3 linked regions of the Diceros bicornis minor genome follow. The protein of the gene in region 1 purifies or fractionates together with the protein of each later gene. This does not show direct contact. Links are inferred from orthologs where the notes say so. Each region holds a gene or a part of one and is shown in the gene's direction. Other genes may lie near its edges. The genes, in order: COPB1, COPE and COPZ1.

Region 1 (7,336 bases):
TGTGTATCATATTTGTTGTTAATGCCATTGAGTTGATTCCGACTCCTAGCAACCCTGTGTACAGCACAGCTGAAACCTGACCCGTCTTTTTCCTCCATCCTCTCACCTTCCCGTGCCATAGCAGACAATGCTCTGCTGCTATTCATAGGGTTTTCATGGCCAATTTTTTTGGAAGTGGGTGGCCAGGTCCTTCTTCCTAGTCCTTCCTAGTCTGGAAGCTCCACTGAAACCTGTCCACCATGGGTTACCCTGCTGGTATTTGAAATACTGGTGGCATAGTTTTCAGTGTCATAGCAATGTGCAGCAACCACAGTAGGACAGCCGACAGGTGGGTGGTGTAGCAGTGAAAGCACCGAATCAACCTCGAGACCACCAGGGCTGGCTATCATTTTTGTATCTGTTTCTTAAGTGTAAACCATTATTTGGTTGGCGCTCAGCTGAAAAAAAACAGTAATCTGTATTGTACTTTGGGGCAATTTTAGTAATTTTTTCAATATGTGATTTTAGTCATATACACTGACTTTAGACTTTAGAACTCCTCCCCACCCCAATAAAATTCAACCCCACTCTCTGTACAGAGTTCATTGTGATGCCTTTTCATGTCATTTTGTCTAGTATGTTATGCTCTTATTCCATTTAGTTTGTGTTAAATAATTATAAACAATAAAATTCCTAATAATGTGCTCTCATAAAATCTATCACTTTGATATAAAGATAATATTCAATTCACATGGAATTTGTTAAGCATCTATATGTGCATCTTTGAAGAACTGGTATGGTTAAAAATAAGAGGCAGTAAAGTAGGTGACAGGATTCACCTGTCCCAGCTTTTTCAGTGTTTAACCATTTTGTGGTTTGGGGGCAAGTCCCTTTTCTCTAGGCCTTGATTTCCTAGACATTTAAGTTTTTATGATTCTTGGTAAATGACAAAGTCCTTGCTCTCAAATAATTTATAATTTCAAGAGCATTCAAATGATAATTACATGCTAAAGTAAAAATAAGTCCCAAAACAAAATGCATGTTATAACAAGTCAGGAAGAATTAGGCGATATAACGTCCTCATATATGTTCAACAAGCTCTATTTAAGAATATACAACATCTGATAAGGGGTTAATCTCCAAAATATATAAAGAACTCATGCATCTCAACAACAAAAAAACTAACAACCCAATTAAAAAATGGGCAAAAGACCTGAGCAGACATTTCTCCAAAGAAGATATACAGATGGCCAACAGACATATGAAAAGATGTTCAAAACCATTAACTATCAGGGAAATGCAAATCAAAACTACAATGAGATATCGCCTCATGTCCGTCAGAATGGCTATAATTAACAAGACAGGAAACAACGTGTTGGAGAGGATGTGGAGAGAAGGGAACTCTCATACACTGCTGGTGGGAGTGCAAACTGGTGCAGCCACTATGGAAAACAGTATGGAGATTCCTCAAAAAATCAAGGATAGAACTACCATATGATCCAGCTATTCCACTGTTGGGTATTTATCCAAAGAAGTTGAAAACACCAATGCATAAAGATACATGCACCCCTGTGTTCATTGCAGCGTTATTCACAATAGCCAGGACTTGAAAGCAACCTAAGTGCCCATCAAGGGACGAATGGAGAAAGAAGATGTGGTATATATACACAATGGAATACTACTCAGCCATAAGAAACGATGAAATCCAACAATTTGTGACAACATGGATGGACATTAAGGGTATTATGCAAAGTGAAATAAGTCAGAGGGAGAAGGTCAAATACCCTGATTTCCTTCATTAAGTAGTAGATAATAACAATAAACAAAAACATAGAGACAGAAAAAAAATATATACAACAATATATATACTGCCAATGACAATTTTAAGTGCAGACCTAAAATGAGATTTTATAAAATACATTATCTTGGGGCCAGCCCCGTGGCTTAGCGGTTAAGTGCGCGAGCTCTGCTACTGGCGGCCTGGATTCGGATCCGGGCGCGCACAGACGCACGGCTTCTCCAGCCATGCTGAGGCCGCGTCCCACATACAGCAACTAGAAGGATGTGCAACTATGACATACAACTATCTACTGGGGCTTTGGGGAAGAAAAAAAGGAGGAGGATTGGCAATAGATGTTAGCTCAGAGTTGGTTTTCCTCAGCAAAAAGAGGAGGATTAGCATGGATGTTAGCTCAGGGCTGATCTTCCTCACACACACACACAAAATAAATAAATAAATAAAATAAAATTGTCCTTATAAAAAAAGTTTAAAAAAAATAATAAAATACATTATCTTGCCTTTTCATATTTAATAGTTTCCTTAATGACTCAGTCATGATAAGCCTCAAGTTGTAATCTGTAACACAGTGGGCCTCCAGGGCACAGTTAGTCCTGCACCATGCTTGCCCTAAACTGCTGAGCTTTCTTATTGCTAACTCTAGTTTTTATGCTTTTTGGGGCCTCATTTCATGCCAATAGATCATCACTTCTTAATAAGTGGGCTTAGAAACCAGATAACTGCATTTGTAAAAATTCCATGTTAAAAATGAATACACAGAAATAGAACAACCTGTTGTACACACATTTTGGGTTGATCTCAAAGGAATTATGCTGAGTGAAAAAGAGCCAACCTCAAAAGGTTACACTGTATAATTCATTTATATTACATCCTTGAAATGACAAAATTATAGAGATGGAGAACAGGTTAGTGCCATGGGTTAAGGAAGGAAGCGGCTGTGACTATAAAAGGATAGCAGGAGGTATCCTGGTAATGGAATTGTTCTGTATCTCAACTGATGGAGATCACATGAATCTAAACATGGTAAAATTGCCTAGAACTAAATACACAAGTGCATGTAAAATTGGTGACATCTGATTGAGGACGAGTGAATTGTATCAATGTCAATTTCCTGGATTTGATATTGTACTGTAATTATGCAGGATGTTACCACTGGAAAAAATTAGGTGAAGAATATATGGGATCTCTGTATTTATGTCACTCTACAATTATCTCAAGATAAACAGTTTTTAAAAAATGAATGCACAGGATTTGAGGAGCACTCTTAGAAAGTGCAATAAGCACATGGCCTTTGTAATATATTTTGGTTGCTCAAAAAATTTATTTTTACTTTTTACTCAATGTTTCCAAAAAGAAGGAACCTCAAAATAGCTGGATTCTAGATGGGTAAGTCACTATTTGTGTTCTATGTCCCTGAGATGAACCTGTTAATAAGTGCAGGTTCTGTCATACCTCTTTGTATTCACAATATTTTTCTCAAAGACGTCAAAATTTTTTTATTAATAATTGGCCAGAAAAACCTTTTTTTGCGGGGGGGGGGGATATGGAACCTCAAATGAGCTAAACCAAAGATGCCATGGCTGACTGTAGCTGTAACAATTAGGTCTTTGGAGATAGGTAAAATCCTTTAAAACAGTGACTGTTGGGGCCAGCCATGGTGTAGTGGTTAAGTTGGCACCCTCAGCTTCATGGGCCGGGGTTTGGTTCCCAGGCACCGACTTACACCACTCATTGGTGGGAATGCTGTGGCGGAGACCCACATACAAAATAGAGGAAGACTGGCAACAGATGTTAGCACAGGCCAAATCTTCCTCAGCAAAAGAAAAAAAAAGTATTAAAAAAAACAAAACAGTGACTGCCGATCTCCCTTTATGCATAAAAAAATTTTAATCTACTGGGTACTCAGAAAGCATCATGAAAGGGACCGTTAGTAAATAAAGACCAGAAATCATACCAGTGAGACTTGAACATTGAGGCAACTCCAGCCTAACTGCAGAGGCAGAGATTCAGACTATTGCAGATGATAAAAACTGAAATAGATCTTCATATAATCTAGTATCCCTTATTAGAGGAACTGAAGTTACTTTCCTAAATAGTAGTTAGTTACTTTCCCAGTTTATCACTGGGTGAGCTAGAAAAGGGCTTCCAGCTCCCAGTCTAGCGCTCTTTTCCACTGGACCACAAAGCCCTATAAAATGCGTTTCTCCTCTCTCCAAGCACTTCCTCCCCTTGGCTGTTTTAGTTCCTGAAAGAAGAGACAATTTCTAAGCAGCATTTAAATGGTCACAGCACTTAATTCAGGTTCGCAGGGAAAACTTATAAATACGGGTTTCCAGTTCCCTCTGTGGCCTAAGCCAGCCGGATGACACAAGAGGAAGAAACTTCCAGGAAACAGTTGCCGCGCGCAACCGCAGGACGGAGAACGCATGTCCTCTCTGAGTTGCCGTAGGTGCTAGGTGGCCGCGGCCTGGGTCGTCCGCCCACCCCCTTCCACGTCAGCCAAGGAGTCTGCCGAGCCGCCGTCGCTGCTGCAGGTTGGAGCCGGAGTAGACGGTCCCGCCGTTGCCCCCGCTGCTGCCCTCGGAGCCAGGTGGCGGGCCACGAGCCCCTAATCCCGGAGGCGTGGTGGGCTGGGCAGAGTCGGGGGAACTGGCTCTCCTGCGGGAGGATAAGGGAGGGGAAGGAGTAGGCCGCTGGGGCCGCGCCTGGCGAGCGGAACGGGAGGCTGGGCAGCTCTGGACCGGACTCCCCACCCGGCCTGCGCCCTGGCCAGGGTCTTCTCCCTCCCAGGCCCCCGGGGCTCGCCACTTCAGGCCGAGGCCTGCTTTGCAGAAGGAAAGGGACGGAGAAGGAGCGTGGGGGTGCAGCGCACAGATTGAGGGACCCAAGTACACCGACTCGGGCCCCACCGACCAACGCGATGAAGCGCTTTAGTTTTAGCAGAGTATTCGTGCACAGGGTCTCTTAACATGAGCAGTCCAGATTGTGTGTTATGTTAAAAAGTCATTTCTGTAACATGGTGGGATGGGGCTTGGGGACTGTCACGGACGGTATTGTGGGCCTATCCTGCAGTACAGCACTCTAAACTCTGGGTGGGGTTGTGGGGTGGGAGGTAATATGCCTCAGGCCAAGGCTGACAAGTGTTTTTTATTATAATAGGCTTTATTTTTATAGTACGCAGTATAGATTGACTCTGCCCTTCTAATACTTTAATAAAAACTCATAAACAAAACTGATTGAACTTTAGACAGTAAAGATCACGATAGTTACTGGTTGGGTTTCTGTTTTTGTTTTTTTACTTGTAATGATATCCTTGTATTTATTTTTCTAGATTTTCTGGCATCTGTCATCCTTAAATCTTGTATCGAGGGTTGATTTATAACCGGAAACCATGACGGCTGCTGAGAATGTGTGCTATACGTTAATTAACGTGCCAATGGATTCAGAACCACCATCTGAAATTAGCTTAAAAAATGATCTAGGTAAACTTTGATAATATTTGGAAAATATTAAATGGAAAAAAATGAAAAGAAAAAGCTCATGTGTACTTCAAGTTCTTTATAATTAGAAATGCTTAGCTTTTGTCTAAATATTTTTTTCTAGGATCTCTTCAATAGACCTTTTGTCTTATTAAAAATGAAAACTTGCTACCTTTAGACTTGTAGTATTTGTTTTTGGAAATAAAACATCTCAGTTTAGCTTAGTAAAGCTAAAGAAATGTAATAGTTTAGAGGCTGGCCCAGTGGCGCAAGCGGTTAAGTGTGTGTGCTCTGCTACAGTGGCCCAGGGTTCGCTGGTTCGGATCCCGGGCACGCACGGACGCACTGCTTGTCAAGCCATGCTGTGGCGGCGTCTCATATAAAGTGGAGGAAGATGGGCACGGATGTTAGCCCAGGGCCGGTCTTCCTCAGCAAAAAGAGGAGGATTGGCAGATGTTAGCTCAGGGCGGATCTTCCTTCCAAATAAATAAATAAAAATTAAAAAAAAAAAGAAATGTAATAGTTTAGTTGTTAGATATTCTTCAAAATAACATAATGGCTTGTGTCGTTTAATGCATTATGCTTAAATGTAGCTGACAGTTCTCTGTAGGTAACAGGTTGAGAGTGTGTATTTGAATGTCTTAGTTCCTTTGTGCTCTTAACTTCGTGTTACTTAGCTTGTAAAACCAAAAGAACTTGGTTCTTTGGGTTCACCACCTGTTGAATAAATGAAGTCAACACTGGAATACACATGTGTTTTGCAGGAAGGTTTAAGCTTTTCATTTTTAAAGCATTTATGCAAAGAAGAAAACATATTTCTTAATTTTAACAGTGTATGCTGTGTCTCCTTTTTGTGAGTGATTGTCAAAAAAATTTTTTTAAATAGTGCACATTCCAAAATAATGATTGTTTAATTGAACTACTAAAAATAAGTTAAACTGATAACTACTGTTTAAAACTGAGTGCAAATTACGCTTCAAATCTCTGGTTTGCAGTTTGAAAGGAGACAATATTTTACTTGCGTATTTCCACCTCTCAATCAGCAGTAATGGAATACCTCCTGATTTTAGGTTACTTAATATTAGGTTCCTATTGAGGTCTATTTTTATTTATTTATTTATTTATTTTGTGAGGAAGATCAGCCCTGAGCTAACATCAATGCCAATCCTCCTCTTTTTGCTGAGGAAGACTGGCCCTGGGCTAACATCTGTGCCCATCTTCCTCTACTTTATATGGGACGCCTGCCACAGCATGGCTTGACAAGCCGAGCCTCAGTGCATACCCTGGATCCGAACCCCGGCCGCCAGCAGCAGAGCTCGAGAACTTAACCGCTGTGCCTCGGGGCTGGCCTCAAGGTCTATTTTTAGAGAAGGACAAAGAAACCCTCTTTTGTGACGTTTAAACTGATACTCCTTATATACAAAAGCCACATATATTTCCTTTTCTTCCCCCATATTTATGTAAGATAGAATAGAATGCAAGTTAATGAATACGCTTTCGTTGCTACTTTTTTCTTATAATTTAAAACTTTTCATTTTTAGACCCCCAAATTCCTTAAAGTTATAGCTGGGAAGATAAAAAACAAAAATCTGTCCTTAATTGTAACCATACTCTTTTCTTAACTACTCTCCCCCTACCAATAAATAAGTAAGTAGTCTTGAATTTTATGTATATTTTTGACTTTCTCTCAAAAGAGTTGAGATGAGACAAAGTTTGGAAGTAGTTTCCAGTTTGAATAACAAATATTTTTTTGTTTCGTGAAACATTGAGTTGCTTTACCTACGCTTTTCTTTACCGTTTATCGCTGGGTATGAGCTCTGATAGCTATACATTCCCTGGAGTAGGACATACCTAGTGTATTTTGATGAATTGACTTGATATTTGAAATTTTCAGTAGTGTTCATAGAGGAAAATAAGTTCTGAAAATTTTGAATATGTGGAAAGAAGCATCCTTCACCTCAATTTGAATTGTTGGAATAAATGGAAATTGGGGTTAGGGGGGCTGTATAGTTTTTTTTACAAGTTTGCTGTTCAACTTACTTTTAAGACTTTTTACCCTTAGTACCAAGTGAAGTTTTAT
Region 2 (7,908 bases), on another chromosome or scaffold:
GCCCCTCTGTGGGCACCAGGGGACCAGCGAATGGGAGGAAGTACCCTGGGGTTGCTCACCGGGAGGCCACATCTGTCGCGATCAGGATCCGGTAGATGCTAGACTTGAACTTGGCCAGGGCGGCAAAGCGTTCTTTCTGTGCCGGGTCAGGGAGAGAAGCAGGGGAGCTGGGGTCAGGGGGCATCTCAGCAAACGTTTGAGCACTTAGTGTGTGAGGCCTGGGGACAGGCCGGGACCATCCCCGCCCTCACGGGGTTCACAGCCCAGCAAGCAAGACGACCGTGGGAAGACCAGATGGAGCAGACGACTGGCAGGAATAGGGAGGAGCCTGGGCAAAGGCCCTGAAGCTGGGAGGAGTCCCCAGGGCGAGGCAGATGGGCGACGGGGTCTCTGGGGCAGCCCACCGTCTCACCTGTTTCATCATGGAATGCAGGGCCACGGTGGGGAAGTTGAATTTGCGCAGCATCATGCACAGGATCTGGCAGGTCCTGTGGGAAGGGTGTGCTGTCAACCCCTGCAGCCCACCCCTGAGACCCCAAGCAGGTGGCCCTACACAGCTGGGAAAGGAGAAGCAGGGGTGTGGGGTGTCCTCGCTGGTAACATCCTCTCTGCTGACCCTTTCCCTGGCCTAAGATAACGAGTCACCCCTATATCCAGACGTTTCTGGTAGCCAATAAGTTCTTGGAGGGCAGCAGCCAGTTAGGAGGCCTCCTCAATGCAACGTGGACTGCCCCTCTATCCTAGCTCATACTGGAATAGCCTACATCTTCTTGACATCTCCCCAAAAGCTTCAGAGGAGGAGCCGACTTGAACTGGCTCTAGGGACCCCTGGGATTGCAGAGACAACAGCCTGGGTGCTGGTGCGCTGGGCCTCAGTGACACCCTAGAGCATAGCAAATCTGCTGCAGGGGTTCCTGGGGACAGCCCGAGGCCCCTGGCCCTTCTAGTTAAGGGCAGGTCTGAAAAACCCCAAATCCTGGCTCCAGCTTCAGGAGAAGTGACCATGGCGAATCCCTTGGTCTCTCTGAGCATCCTTGAGAGAGTTCTCTGAAATCTCTGGTCTGAGCAGAGGCCCCACAGCACCGAGTCTGGCCGTGTGCCTCACATCTGCACCTTGGCCCCTCTTGGGCCTCCGTGAAGGGCTCGGGGGGGGGGGCCCGCTCAAGCTCACTTGCACGTGTTGGTGAAAATGATGATGGACCAGTCCTCGTGCTCGTCCTGGAAGTTCTGGATCAGGTGGACCAGGTAGGCATCCTTGATCTTCTCAGGCACCAGCAGGTAGCGCTGATCCAGCTGCTCCACCGTGCGTACCCTGGGGACAGGTGCGCCATGTGTCCCCTTCTGCTGAATGGGGCCAATGCCCCGCCCTGCCCACGGGTAATAGCCTCCATTGGGGATGCCCCCCCACCCCCTGCCTGCGCTGCTGCTCTTACAGGGCCTGAGCCTCCCAGAAGAAGGGCTGGTTGGTGGCCAGGCCCTGCAGCTCCCGGAGCGTGTCGGTCAGTGTGGCACTGAAGAGCAGGGTCTGCCTGCGGGCCGGCACGGCCGCCAGGATGGTCTCCAGGTCCACAGTAAAGTCAGTGCAGCCCTGCTCCAACAGCCGGTCCGCCTCATCCAGCACCTGCGGTGCCGGTGGCGGGGGGTGGGGGTGGATCTGGGGTGAGGGTGCTGTCTGGGGCCTGACCCGCCTCCCCCATGTGCCTCCTTCCCTGCCTTGGATGTGAGCCCTGGAGAACTGTCCCTCTAGGTCTCGGAGGCCTGCTCCCTCACCCATCTTGGCTTCTACGTCAGCTCCTCCGAGAGACCCTGCCCCAACCATCTTCCTAGTACAGGTCCCCTCGTTGGTCCCTGAGTGTCCTTGTCACTGTTCCCAAAGCTCTACTGCATGGCCTGTGGGACGCATGTTTCCCAAATAGATGAATCAGCGCCCCAGGCCAACTCACCAGGAAGCGGATCTTCTTTATGCTGAAGGTGCTGGAGCTGCGGAGGTGGTCTGCCAGGCGCCCCGGAGTGGCAATGACCACGTGTGGTTTCCGGGAGAGCTCCAGGGCCTGAGCCACCATGTCTGTGGGTGAAGGGCGAGAGGTGGGGCTGGGCAGGTGGTCCAAGGCTGCAGAGGGCCACACTCAGAGCCTCCCCGAGCCCTCCGTACCCATGCCGCCTACGATGATGCAGTCTTTCAGGCCCAGAGGCTTCCCCAGGACCCGGAACTGCTCTGCGATCTGGTAGGCCAGCTCCCTGTGGGCATGAAGAGGCCGGGTTGGGTCAGATAGGGGTTCTGTGCCTTCTCCCATTCCTGTCTCCACCCGCCGGCGTCTCCTGACTCACCCTCTCCCGTTCACACACCCTTCAGGGCTCCCAGTCCCCTGTGGTCAAAGGCTCTGATGCTGAGCGTTGGAGGCCCGCTGTGGCCCCTGCACCCTCCCCAGGCTGGGCCCCAGATCAGCCCAGGGCCCTGCCCCCCCCCCCAGTCCCATCCAAACTGGCCTTTCCTCCTCCCACGTCCTCAGCAATGGTCTCAACACCAGTCACCAAAGCCTGAGACCCGAGCATCAGTCCCCCCTCCCCGGGGCTGGTCAGTGTCCAAGTCCCCTCCTCTGTGCCTCAGGCCCAGCTCTGCCCAGGCCTCTCCTCGGCCCCTGTCCCCACTTCCTGGCCTCCTGTCTTGCCCTTTCCTGCTCACACACCTTCTGAATCAATTCTAACCTGACATTCAAGGCCCTTCTCAAGCTGGCTCTAACACACCTGGCCCACAGGACCCTTTCTGTTCCCTGCCTCTCAGACCTCTGCATGAATGCACTAGCAGATCTCTCCGCCTAGAATGCTTTCCCCAAACTTGTCCTCTTGAGAGACCTTTTCCATCCATTAAGGCACCCCTTGAATGAAGCCTTCCTCGACGCCCCCTTCCCTGGCCACGCCCTCAACAGCATGCAGCGCCTGCCTCTTCTGTGGCCATCACAGGACTTGTCATTTCAACTGCCACACGTGTCTGCCCAAGAACTGGAGATGTGTTTACAGTCAGGCATCACTTGACAGGAACCCGTTCTGAGAAATGCGTTGTTAGGCAATTTTATGGTTGTGCGAACATCACAGAGTGCACTTACACAAACCTGGGTGCAGCCTCCTACATACCCGGGCTCTATGGCGCTGATCTTATGGGACCACTGCCATATATGCGGTCTGTTGTCGACCGAAACATCGTTACGTGGCAAGTGACTGTATTTCTTGGGCTGTAAGACTACTGATGGCTCCTTTCCGGCAGTGCCTGCCCTGAGGCAAGCCCTGTGCCCAGCACTTTTGGCACACCGTCTTGTTTAATTCTGCAGCACTCCTATGAGGTGGCCTCGATTTCTGTCCCCATTTTGCACATGGGGAAAGTGTTGCTCAGCAAGGTAAAGGCGCCTGCCTGAGAGCACAGCTGGTTAACTTACCCAGGAGACCTGTAGGGGGCTCACCTGGTGGGTGTCAGGACGAGGCAGAAGATGCCATAGGGATCCTCAGACAGCTTCTGCAGGATGGGCAGGACAAACGCTGCTGTCTTGCCGCTGCCTGTCTTGGCACAGCCCAGGCAGTCCCGACCTGGGCAGAGGGCAAAGCAGCATCAACACACTTTAGGTGTAGACGGGTGTTCCATTTGGCACAGTTGACAACAGCTGACATTTAATGAGCAGTTACTGTGTGCCCAGTACTGCCTATGCCATTTCCCCTCCGAACATACTGACAACGTTCCATTGCTGGTAACTGACAAATTCTAGGAGGGAAAGGCCGTTATCATCCCCATTTAACAGAAGGCAAAAATGAGTCTCAGAGATTTGTCCAGGACACACGGCTGGCTGATGCCAGACTAGACTGGAACCCTCATCCATCTGACCCAATATGCCTGCTACTGACCACTACCTCATTTTGACTCCCTTCCAGAGCACCTGAGCTTGGGGAACCTGGAATGCCCTCCCCAATCTGCATCCTATGCTCCCTGTTAATTCTTCCATCTTTATTTAATCCCTCAAATTGTCTCATCCTAGGCTTCTTGAGGGCCCCTCAGTAATGGCAAATTAGGTCGGGCCAGAAGAGTGGGGAGAAGAGCAGTCACGGGACCAGCGTCCTGGATTTACCAGTAATGTTGACAGCCTCAGTTTCCATTTGTAAAATGAAGATAAGTAGTGCAAACTCTACCAAATCTTCCCAGTACTATCGATTAATCATTTATGAAACCCTCCCTGTTCTGAAGCTATAAAAGTTTCAGAGATTATATCACTTGTGCGAGGACACACAGCCTAACACCAACACTGCCCAGTCTGCCTCCGGAACCTACACTCGCCCGTAACGCCCAAGCCTGCCCCACGCCTCACAGGACCGGCGTGGGCAAAGAATGAGAGGCAACAGGAGTGGAGATGCCTCTGGGAAGAGGCCGGGCCACACTCACCCTCCAGGATGGCGGGGATGCAGCCGAGTTGTACGGGCGTGGGCTGCTTCAAACCCAGCTGCCGACATTGTTCCACCAGCCACGACGACAGGCCGAGCTCCGCGAAGCCGGCCATCCTCGCCGCCAGCCCCGTGTGAGCAGCCGTGTGTAGAGGCGCTTCCGGCGCGTGCTGATGACGTCACGAAACCTCTCCCGTTAATTGGATCCGCCTCCTGCATGGTCCCGCCCTCTCCAGCTCACTCTGCCATCGACCGCATCCTTACCATATTTCCCCGAATCCCATTGGCTCGCAGGATCGAATCAAACTACAATTCCCGAGATGCCCTGCGAGACGCACTCGCGTCCCCCGTACCCCCGTTTAGGCGTCTCCCATTGGCTCATCTCCAGGCCGGAACGAGTGAACTACATTTCCCGGCCCCGCGGTGGCCCCCTGCTTCCGGCCGACGTGTCCCTCAGGAAGAAGAGCGGTTGCGACGATAGCGATATGGCGCCTCCCGCCCCCGGCCCGGCCTCCGGCAGCTCAGGGGAGGTGGACGAGTTGTTCGACGTGAAGAATGCTTTCTACATTGGGAGCTACCAGCAGTGCATCAATGAGGCGCAGCGGGTGAAGGTGCGGCCGCTCCGGGCCCGGGACGCTGGGGGCGGGGACGGAGGAAGCTGCCTGGTGGCCGCGAGTCGCGGTCTGACTTTAAGAACGCTTCCTCTTCTCGCGGCGGTTTCCCCTCACGCATCTCTTGAGAGCGCGGTGAGGAGTTATCTTGTCCCATAGCAAATCTCAGAGCAGTAACAGTTCATAGTGCTTCTCACTCAGAGCGCTCGCTCTGCGTCCTGGAAGCATTGGAGTAAGAGAGGCATTTGTATCATGTAGTAATAATGTTCTCCTTTGTTGAGCGGCCCACACTGTTCCGCCAGACCCTCAATTCCCGTGAAGTAGGGACTGCTGTTTATCCTCATTTTACAGAGAACACTGAGGCTCAAGAGAGAAATGGCTTCCCCGGTGTTATCCTGCCCCACTAGCCCGGTCATTTGTCCCCAGACGTGCTTGTTCAGTTATTCATTCGTTCGTTCCTCATTGAGCATCTCTGTGGGCCAAGTAGTGTATTCGTGCTGGGCTCAGAGCAGTGACAAAACAGACAAAACTCCTAGCATTTTCAGAAACCTCAGCCTCTCAAGGGAGACAGACAGTAAAGGAGTAAATAAACAAGAAGTCAAGAGGTGGCGTGATGGAGAGTGGTGGGAATGAGCTTGGCTGTTTGAGAGCTAGAAAATAGCCCTGCAAGGCAGGGCCCAGCCAGCCAGTGACAGGAGAGGGGGCACCAGGGGCCATTAGCAGCAACTTTTGGGGAGGGACATGATGTTACTGACACTGCGAGAGTGAACCATTGGAGAACTTTTAAGAGCAGTGAAATTGGCAGTCTTGCCTGCCTTCACAGTCTAGTGTTCCAAAGAGAGTAAGCAAGTAAAGAAGCTAGTGAATACGTAGTTACAACTTGAGCACTCTGGGGATGGGGGTAGATAAAAAGTGCTGAGAATGGAGAAGGAGGGTGCTGCTTCATGTGGGAGTGGTCAGATCAGGCCAGGCCTCTCTGATTGTCATTTGAACCTGAGGCTGAATCTTGAGAGGCGTCTGACCCCATAAACTGCTGCAAAAGTGCTGAGGCAGGGATGAGCTTGGCGTAGCCCAGGCATAAGGGGTCAGTGTAGCAGAAGTGGGGCAAGCGATGGGGAGGATGAGAATGAGGTGGGCAGGGCCTTGGGGTCACGGCAGGGCTTTAGATTTTATTCTAAAGGCACAGGAAGCCACTGGAGCACCTAGTGAGAGAGTGGCAGGTGTCTTCACAGAGGCAGCCAGAGAGTTGGGAGGAATTTAGACTCTGAAGTAGAGAAGGCTTGTTTTCCATGCTTTTCGCCTTTTGCAGTGTACCTGATTTCCCTGCACGTCATCTGTATAATGGGGATAAAGCCTCAAACAGATTTCAGAAAGCGGTTTGGATTTCTTGAAATAACGTTTGCATGATTGCATGAGTTTTCTGTTGCCGCCGGGACAAATTATCTCAAACAATAGCTTAAGATGACACAAACTTATCTCAAAGTTTCTATACGTCAGAAGTCCAACACGGCTCACCAGGCTAAAATCAAATTGTCAGGTGGGCTGTGTCTTTTCTGGAGATTCCAGGGAAGAATCTGCTTCCAAACTCATTCAGGTTGCTGGCTCTCTGCCTGGGACCACCTAAGTTACCTCCTAGAAGCTTCTCTCCAATTCTCAACCTCCATGTAGCCCCTCCATCTCAGAACTAGCCGTGGGGTTCTCACAGTTGGAATCTCTCGAATTTCCCCTTCTGCATTCCTTCTGTCTGTTAGCTGCTATCAGCTTCTGTGATTGGGCTGTGCCCTCCCAGATAACCCAGCATAGTTTCCCCCTCTTAGGGTCCATAACCTTAATCACAGCTCTGAAGTCCCTTTTGTGACGTGATGTAAGCTATTCACAGATTCCAAGGACTGGTGTGGACATCTCTGGGCAGCAGGGGTGGGGGGTGCCTTATTTGGCTCACCACCACAATTTTATGTGTCTCTTGGCTGGGGTAGTGTGGGCTGCGAGAAGATTGAGACAGACCTGGGCTCAGATTTCGGCTCTGCTACCAGGGCTGAGTCATTGCACCTCTTTGAGCTTCTGTTTTCCTCTCCTGTCAAATGGGAAAAATGATGCCTATCTCATTAGGGTCACTGTGAGATTCAGTGTTACACTCACATTCCACCTTTTGACTTCTACCGTATGTCTGTTCTGCTTACTTCATAGCGATGTGTTCTTTTGAGTCATTATATGCAGACTATACACTGCTGCTGAAAGGGAGAACCAGCATGACCTGCTGCACATAGAGAGTGTCTGAAAATGAAGATATGGAAACCATGTCAGTGGTCACTTTGGCTGGAGGCACACTGCTCAGCCTCTGAGCTGGGGACCTGCGCCCTCTTTGGCGATGTGATCAAGAGGTGCTGCCACCAAGCCAAGGTGTTCTCCCTGAAGCATCCAGAAGAATGGAGCACTCTCCCCCCTGAGCCATTTGATGTGATTTAATTCTGATCCATAGGCCACCTGAACCGTCCTGGGCAGGCTGTACTGGGTTGAGTGGTGTCCCTGAAAAGATATGTCTACCCAGAACCTGTGAATGTAGCTTACTTGGAAAAAGGGTCTTTACAGATGTAATTCAGTAGGATCTCTAGATGAAGTCATCCAGGATTTAGGATGGGCCTTAAATCCAATGAGAAGTGTCCTTCTAAGAGAAAGGCAAAGAGAGGTTTGAGACACAGACAGAGAAGACAGAGGCAGAGATTGGGGTGATGAGCCACAAGCCCAGGAACACCTGGAGTCCCAGAAGCTGGGTGAGGCAAAGAAGGATCCTCCTAGAGAGCCTTTGTGGGGAGCCACGGCCCTATTGACACCTTAATTTTGGACTTCTGGCCTCCAGAACTGTGCGAGAATAAGT
Region 3 (7,412 bases), on another chromosome or scaffold:
CGAAGCGGAATGCGCAAACTTAACCACTATGCCATGGGGCCAGCCCCTGCAACATACTTTTCTTCATTTAACATGCCATTACCTGGGCCGGCCCCACGGCTTAGCGGTTAAGTGTGCGTGCTCTGCTGCTGGCGGCCCGGGTTCGGATCCCAGGCGCGCACCGGCACACCGCTTTTCCAGCCATGCTGAGGCAGTGTCCCACGTACAGCAACTGGAAGGATGTGCAGCTATGACATACAACTATCTACTGGGGCTTGGGGGGAAAAAAATAAATAAAATTAAACAAACAAACAAACAAACCAAAAAAATCATGCCATTACCATTTCTCCAGGTTAAAGCATATGGCTTAACATTCCTTTTTATTAGTTGCATATTACTCCACAGTCTGGATGTAAAATAATCTGTTCAACTATCCTCCTATTGATAGACAATAATGTTATTTTTTGCTATTGTAAGCAATGTTGCAATAAGCATTCTTATATATGTATCACTATGTACTGGGTTATGTTTTTAATTTCTAGGAGGGGATGTACCCATGTTTAATTTTATAGGATGTTGCTATAACACTTTCCAAGAGTGTAAGCTCCAACTCCCATGGTCATCTGGTCCCACTACTTAGGTTTGCATTCAAGGCATTTCACAATCTGGCCACAAAGTACCTTTCCAGTTTTACTCCATCCTCTTCCCTATTTCTTTATTTCAATCCTCTGTGCTATGAAATCAATCCCTCAAAGATTTCTTACACAACTGTGAAGACATTATGCTAAGTGAAATAAGCCAAACACAAAAGGACAAATATTATATGATTCCACTTATATAAGGTACAAGTACAGTTAAATTCGTAGAGACAGAAAGTAAACTAGTGGTTACTAAGGTCTATGGGGGAGGGGAGAACCGAGCGTTATTGTTTAATGGGTACAGAGTTTCAGTTTGGGATGATGAAAAAGTTCTGGAGAGGGATAGTGGTGATGATTGCATAACAATGTGCTTAAGGCCACTGAACTGCACATTTAAAATGGTTAAAATGGTAAATTTTATGTTGTGTATAACACTAAATAAAATATTTTTTTACTTTACAATTTAAAAAGTAAAAAAAAAAAAAGATTCCTTACACATCCCAACCTCCATACCTTTATTCCTACCAAACTCCACCTGTCATTTAATCAATGCATGAATGAATCAAGGCCTAACTCACCCTCTTCTCTTAGACCTTGACCTCCCCCAGCTCCCATCCTCAGGGATCACTCCCTCCTCAGTATCTGTGCCTCTTGATATTTAACCCTGAACTGCCCTTTGACACTGCTCATTCATCTTTGTATCTTGCATTTTTACAAATATTCATTCCATTCAGTAAACACTTACTGTTTGAGGATTTACCGTTTGAGGGCTAGGTGCTAGGGAAATAAAATGAATGGGACAGGGGCCAGCACAGTGGCGTAGCGGTTAAGTGCACTTGCTCGGCTCGGTGGCCGGGGTTCGCAGGCCCGGATCCCGGGCTCGCACCATGCACCACTTGTCAAGCCATGCTGTGGCAGCGTCCCATATAAAGTAGAAGAAGATGGGCACAGATGTTAGCTCAGGGCCAATCTTCCTCAGCAAAAAGAGGAGAATTGGCAGCAGATATTAGCTCAGGGCTGATCTTCCTCACATACACACACACATACACACACACACAAATGTATGGGACAAGGCACTGCCTCAGATGGCAAGTCTGGTGTTATGTTGATGTCTTACAAAATGCCTACGACCGTAAACGATGGCAGCAAGGAGAAAGTGTCCAACTCCACCTGGGACATCAGGGAAGGCTTCATGAGAAGAAGATGTTGATTTTGTTCTTTAAAAAATAGCTCATTTCTCTCCTTTTATTTATTTATTTTTTAAAATTTCATTTATTTATTTCCCCCAAAGCCCCAGTAGATAGTTGTATGTCATAGTTGCACACACTTCTAGTTGCTGTATGTGGGACGCGGCCTCAGCATGGCCGGAGAAGCGGTGCGTCGGTGCTAGCTCGGAGCGCACACACTTAACCGCTAAGCCACGGGGCCGGCCCTATTTTTCTCCTTTTAAAATAGCACCCACACATTTTAGAATACCTGGAAAAATATGGAAACACTGAAAAAAGTCCTACTACTTCAAAACAGCCACTGGTTACATTTTGTTGTGTTTCCTTTCAGTCTTTTCCTCCACTCATTTTTAATAAATTGTTTGTAACCATATATACATGGTTTTATATTATGTGTGTATACATATAAATACATAGAGCGAGACAGAGACAGAGACAGGGAGAGAGAGGGAGAGAGGGAGAGGGAACATATGCATTTTACGTTTGATTGGTTCTTGAAGGTTTTCCAGGTGAAGGGAAGATGGAAACAAAAGGAGCAGGAATGATCACAGAACTTGAACACTAGGTAGGGCCTTAGAAAACTCTGGTCTGAGCCTCCCCATTTTCCAGAAGTGGCAGCTGTAGTCCAGAGAGGGTACAAGGACTTGCCAGAAGTCTCCCACTTATTAAGGCAAAGTCATGACAAGAATATTTCCGATTCAGCTAGTTGTCTTCTCCTCACCACTAACTCCCCATAGTTACTCAATAGGCTGGAGAGCTAAGAATCAGCCATTTTCTGGAACAATGGCTGACTGTTAAAATTTGTCAGTTACTCCACAATCAAAGAAAGAGGAGTCCCCTCCTCCCCAACCAACCACATCACACATTTTTCCTCCTCATGGTCCCTCTAGAACATCTGGCTCTGGTGTAGGGTACTTCAGGTAGGACCGGGACGAAAGAGAGGCTATACCACAAGTCAGAGGAGTGGATTGTGGGTAAGAACATGGCTTTAGAACCAGACCTCCTATGCTCAAATGTAAGGATGCCAGTTAATAGTTGTATGGCCTTAAGTAAATTATTTAACTGTTCCGAGCTCCACTTTTCTCATCCGTAAAATGGGAGTAATAACCATCTACTTCATAAGGGTTTTAAACATATTTTAAATAGTGTATTCAAAGATTTAGCATGTGCCTGCCACATAGTAAGTGGTCAATAAATGTTAATATTAAGCTAGCAAGCCAAGGACAACCTTGTGATGCCAGGCACAGTGCTAAATGCTGGAATAACTCCCCATTCAGAATAGATAAAGGCTAAGCCCTTGTTTCTTCCAGATATGAGGCTTGTCACCTGTGACTTCACCAGAAAGTCATATACTTTCCTTCATAGCATATGTTAGCTCTGTAGTTTGTTTTGTATTGTTCTATACTTTTTTCTTAGGTCCTCTAACTCTACTCTGAAATTATTAGAAAAATTCCTCGTTTTGATGCCCTTCTTGGAGGGCTCCTAAAGACATAATTGTCAGAGATGGGGGGAAAAAAAAACACAAACACTTTGGAGATAATATAAGGCAACAGAAGGTGTCCCTGATCTAAGGGGGATTGGGGACCAAGGAACCGAGAGGTAGGTGAAAGCTAAACTTTATCAAAGCCCTTCCCTATTGTGAAATCCCTGCATTCGGTAAACTTCTCTTTTCTCGTTTTTGCAACGGCTTGTCCCTACTGGAAAACCGCAGACCCTGCTCCCTATACCCTCCTTTATCCTGGACCCTTTACCCCTTTGTCCCTCCTACTCTTTCCTCTTCGGTCTCCAAAGTTCTAACATCCCGTTTCACGTCCGGCCAAAGAAAATCTGTTTTTAGAAACTCACTGGCTGCTTGTCCTTCCCTGGGCCCAGCAAAGCCAGGAACACCACAATGGGGAGATCGTTACTCCAGCAATCAACCTCTGGTGGCCTTGGTTTATCTAGTTAACATGCTGGGCATCTCTTGGCTTTACTCTATGGTTGTGCAGACTTGCTGTGAGGTTGCTGAAGTGACCTGAGAGAGTCTGAGGGGAGAGCTAGCATTGTTGGCCAAAGCAACCATGGATATCAGGGACCTAACGGGGGCTCTTGGAATGGGGATTAGGGTAGGATTCTCTCAGGCGCTGCCAGTGTTAAGGGCTAAAGAGACACAGCGCCCCCTAAAGGGAGTGCGGATTAAAGTTGCTAAATCAGACGGGAGGTATCACATGCCCTTCGCCCAGCCAATCGAAAATTAATAATCGCTTCCCCTGTTCCCCATGGAAACAACCCCGCCCCACTGGCCCTCCCGCCCCGTTCAGGCTTGAGGTTTTGGCGTTTTATTGAGTGTTTAAACTGACAATCAAATACTTGCGCCTTCTGGTTGGGCGCCTTGCTTCCGCTAAGCAAGCTAGTACACTGATTGGTCAGTAGAGCAATAGCTGGCACCTGGTAGTCCAATAACCCCCATCCTGGGCGGCGCCTCATGAGGGCGTAGGGCCAATCAGCGGCGGCGTTGCTTTTGCGGCTCCACGTCGGCACCGGCTGCGGGGCAAGATGGAGGCGCTGATTTTGGTAGGAGCCGGGGGGGCAGCTGGGATACTGCGGTGTCCACAGGGGCCGGGAGTAGGGGTTCAACTTGACTGGGAGTGGGGAGAAAGAGGAGTTCCGGGTAATCCTCGGGGACCGAAGGTTCTGCCGGCCTGTGGAATAAGCGTGTGGCCTAGCGCAGGAGCTAAAGCCTCGGTTTAGAGTAGAAAGCTCCGCCGGGGAGAGGGCAGAGTCGGTGGAAAGTTGAAGGGAGCACGTGGACTCTTTGAGACACATAGGATCATAAGCGCAGTGGATTGGGGTCCTTCAGGTTCCCCCTGATTCTGAGCATTGTGGATGATACCCTGATTTGAGTTTCCCCAAACCTCCAAACTCGCCCCAAATTGTAATAATAGAGGGCAGGTGTTTGTCATCACAGGCTCCTCCTGATGGTTTGACTCTGTGTTGATCATTCCGTCAAGAAACTGTTTTCTTTTTACTTCAGTTTATCCCTTTTATGTGGATTTGTCATGATGAAGAATCAGTATTCCATCCAAGTTCTGGAATACCTGATAGAGTTAGCGTGGATTTGGAATATTTTTCCAGACTCCTTATTCTGTTCTCCTTTTCCCTCCCCCATTTAAACCTTAGGAATTCTTATTGTAGGATCTGGGATGCTAACTCGCCCTCTGGTTATATGAGAATTTTGGTGGCTAAAGGGGTGTATTAGCTCCCTTGTCCATATGATCCTTTTTGCTTGTTTAAACAAATAGAATAACTCCTTCTTTAGAACTGGACCAGAGCATTTCTCTCAAAAGGGCCCTGTTTTGCAATTTGAGGTTGTTAACACACCTCTGTGTAGGAGTTTAGCTTCCAGCTCCTTCCTTGAGTTGAACTCGAGGCCTCTTTCCTGTCTTTTTTTTTTCCTTCAGCTCTAATACATGTACACATTCAGATCCTCAACAGGTAAAGAGAATACGGGTTTAATTCCCCTCTTTCAAAATGGCAAAGATAGAGATAATTCCTTCTCGTCATATGGGTTAGTCAAGTCTAGATAGAAAGCTTAAAATGTGAGTAGTTTTTAGTAAGATATTTTCTATACCAGGCAGTTAACCAGTATTCTTAAACAGTTAGCAGACTGGGAGAAATTCTAGGGAATTGATTTCTTTGGAAGTTTTTAGAAATTTTTAGACTGCTCCCTACATCTGTTTAGAAGGGAACCTGCTTAGAGGTAAAAGAGTGAGAGAGATGATACTTGGGGAGCCCTTTTAACAAGGGATCTGTGTGTTGTGGTGAGTTGAGGGAGTTATATGTGAAAGTCTGTCGGTCACATTTTCTTTGACCTCAGTTCTCTGTCTCTGCTTCCTCAGTGAAGTCTATTTCTTGCTTCTTCCTAATATGCATTTTGATCTGTACCTAAGATGCCGCATTCACAGATCCTTGCTAACCGGGTCAGGTACCCCTGAACTTTGCTTTAAAAACCATACTGATTCTTTGTTGTGAGGAACCTATGTAATAGGGTTAGGGGAAACCCAGGTATAGGGAAAAGAGCTTGCTCAAGGAAGCACAGTGTCAAAATTAGGATTAGATTCTGGTTCCTAATCGTCCCAGAGCAAGTCCCTCTCTGATGATAGCACACCATGGGCTTTCCACCTCTTCTATATGCAAAATTGTACTTTCATCCATCAGTTACATAAAGCTTTTGTTGGGGACGAAGTGCCAACAGGTATCAGTTCTTGTGCTGGTCTCCAGGATTCTTAGGATATTCAACTAGTATTTTCCTTCCTCTGTGTTGGTTCTGTCCAACATTTTTTGTTTTTTGCTCTTTACAATTTGAATATATTTTGAGGCTGCAGAATTTTTGTGTGCATGTGTGAGGAAGATTAGCCCTGAGCTAACATCTGTTGCCAATCCTCCTCTTTTTGCTGAGGACTGTTGGCCCTGGGCTAACATCTGTGCCCATCTTCCTCTGCTTTATATGGGATGACGCCACAGCATGGCTTGACAAGCGTTGCGTTGGTCTGCCCCCGGGATCCGAACCTGCCAACGCTGGCCCGCCAAAGCTGAGCATATGAACTTAACTGCTGTGCCACCAGGCCGTCCTCTGGCCCGCAGAATTTATATACCTTTCTCACCATTCCAGCCCTTCTCAACTGGAGTTCCGGGAGAGAATTAAGCCTTAATGCCCTAAGGCATTCATTGTGTGTTATGAGTCAACTTCTTTCCTCTGTATCCACAAAGGCACTAGTTTCGTACCGCCCATGGGAGAAGCGAGAAAATAATTTAAATAATTTTCGGTCGTTCATATGAGGAACCCTAGTTGAGAATCAGGTGATATTTCCTGAATTTTTATTTCTCTTCTCACTAGACTCACATGCTGGCCTACAAAATTTAGCTCCATCTGATACAGAATCACCCTTCCTCACTGCTCCTTTTAATCGCATCCCTTCGTCTGTCAACTCAGCAGCATCTCCTTATTCTTAGGTTACCATCTTCATTATGAAAAGTATGAGGAATCCCTGGATCTTACCTTACCTCTCTACTGAACTAAAGAGTTTACTGTGCCCAGATGGTGCTTACCAAGCCACTCTTTAGAGAGGACAGACACCTTCTAAAATTCCTTTAGGCTTCCTTCTTTCACATTTCTATTTCCTGGTTTGGCTGGACCTCTGAGGAAATCTGATCAAAGCATATTTTTCTATCCTCACCTCTGCAAGGCACACAGCCATAGGACATTGAGAAGAAGGGAAGGGTAAGCTAGAAGGGGGTCAAGAAGAACCATCAATCGAAATTTGATCCGATTATGGGAATTTCTAAATACCAGTAGGTTCCCTTCATTTAGGTACTTTACAATGGGTCACCTTTCTTTCTTTTTTTTTTTTAATTTTATTTATTTATTTTTTCCCCCAAAGCCCCAGTAGATAGTTGTATGTCACAGCTGCACATCCTTCTAGTTGCTGTATGTGGGACGCGGCCTCAGCATGGCCGGAGAAGCGGTGCGTCGGTCCGCGCCCGGGACGGCCCGGGCCGCCAGCAGCGGAGCGCGCGCACTTAACCGCTA

What was found.
Region 2: the proteins of COPB1 (region 1) and COPE purify together in Homo sapiens (affinity purification with mass spectrometry; 6 studies listed by BioGRID and IntAct, with this or other methods). This does not show direct contact. The link is inferred for Diceros bicornis minor from reciprocal best matches to the Homo sapiens genes COPB1 and COPE.
Region 3: the proteins of COPB1 (region 1) and COPZ1 fractionate together in Homo sapiens (co-fractionation; 8 studies listed by BioGRID and IntAct, with this or other methods). This does not show direct contact. The link is inferred for Diceros bicornis minor from reciprocal best matches to the Homo sapiens genes COPB1 and COPZ1.

Annotation. Positions count from the first base shown.
Region 1 is NC_080746.1:72,470,085-72,477,420, reverse strand, and holds the start of COPB1 (coatomer subunit beta), read left to right. Parts: upstream 1-4,262; 5' UTR 4,263-4,367; intron 4,368-4,377; exon of another isoform or gene 4,378-4,402; intron 4,403-5,108; 5' UTR 5,109-5,168; coding exon 5,169-5,259; intron 5,260-7,336. UniProt on the Homo sapiens protein: The coatomer is a cytosolic protein complex that binds to dilysine motifs and reversibly associates with Golgi non-clathrin-coated vesicles, which further mediate biosynthetic protein transport from the ER, via the Golgi up to the trans Golgi network.
Region 2 is NC_080759.1:6,465,222-6,473,129, reverse strand, and holds the start of COPE (coatomer subunit epsilon), read left to right. Parts: upstream 1-4,856; 5' UTR 4,857-4,907; coding exon 4,908-5,033; intron 5,034-7,908. Other genes in the region: probable ATP-dependent RNA helicase DDX49, read right to left, coding at 60-136, 413-488, 1,172-1,312, 1,434-1,621, 1,944-2,065, 2,153-2,238, 3,456-3,579, 4,424-4,538. UniProt on the Homo sapiens protein: The coatomer is a cytosolic protein complex that binds to dilysine motifs and reversibly associates with Golgi non-clathrin-coated vesicles, which further mediate biosynthetic protein transport from the ER, via the Golgi up to the trans Golgi network.
Region 3 is NC_080756.1:16,083,956-16,091,367, reverse strand, and holds the start of COPZ1 (coatomer subunit zeta-1), read left to right. Parts: upstream 1-4,332; 5' UTR 4,333-4,378; coding exon 4,379-4,396; intron 4,397-7,412. UniProt on the Homo sapiens protein: The coatomer is a cytosolic protein complex that binds to dilysine motifs and reversibly associates with Golgi non-clathrin-coated vesicles, which further mediate biosynthetic protein transport from the ER, via the Golgi up to the trans Golgi network.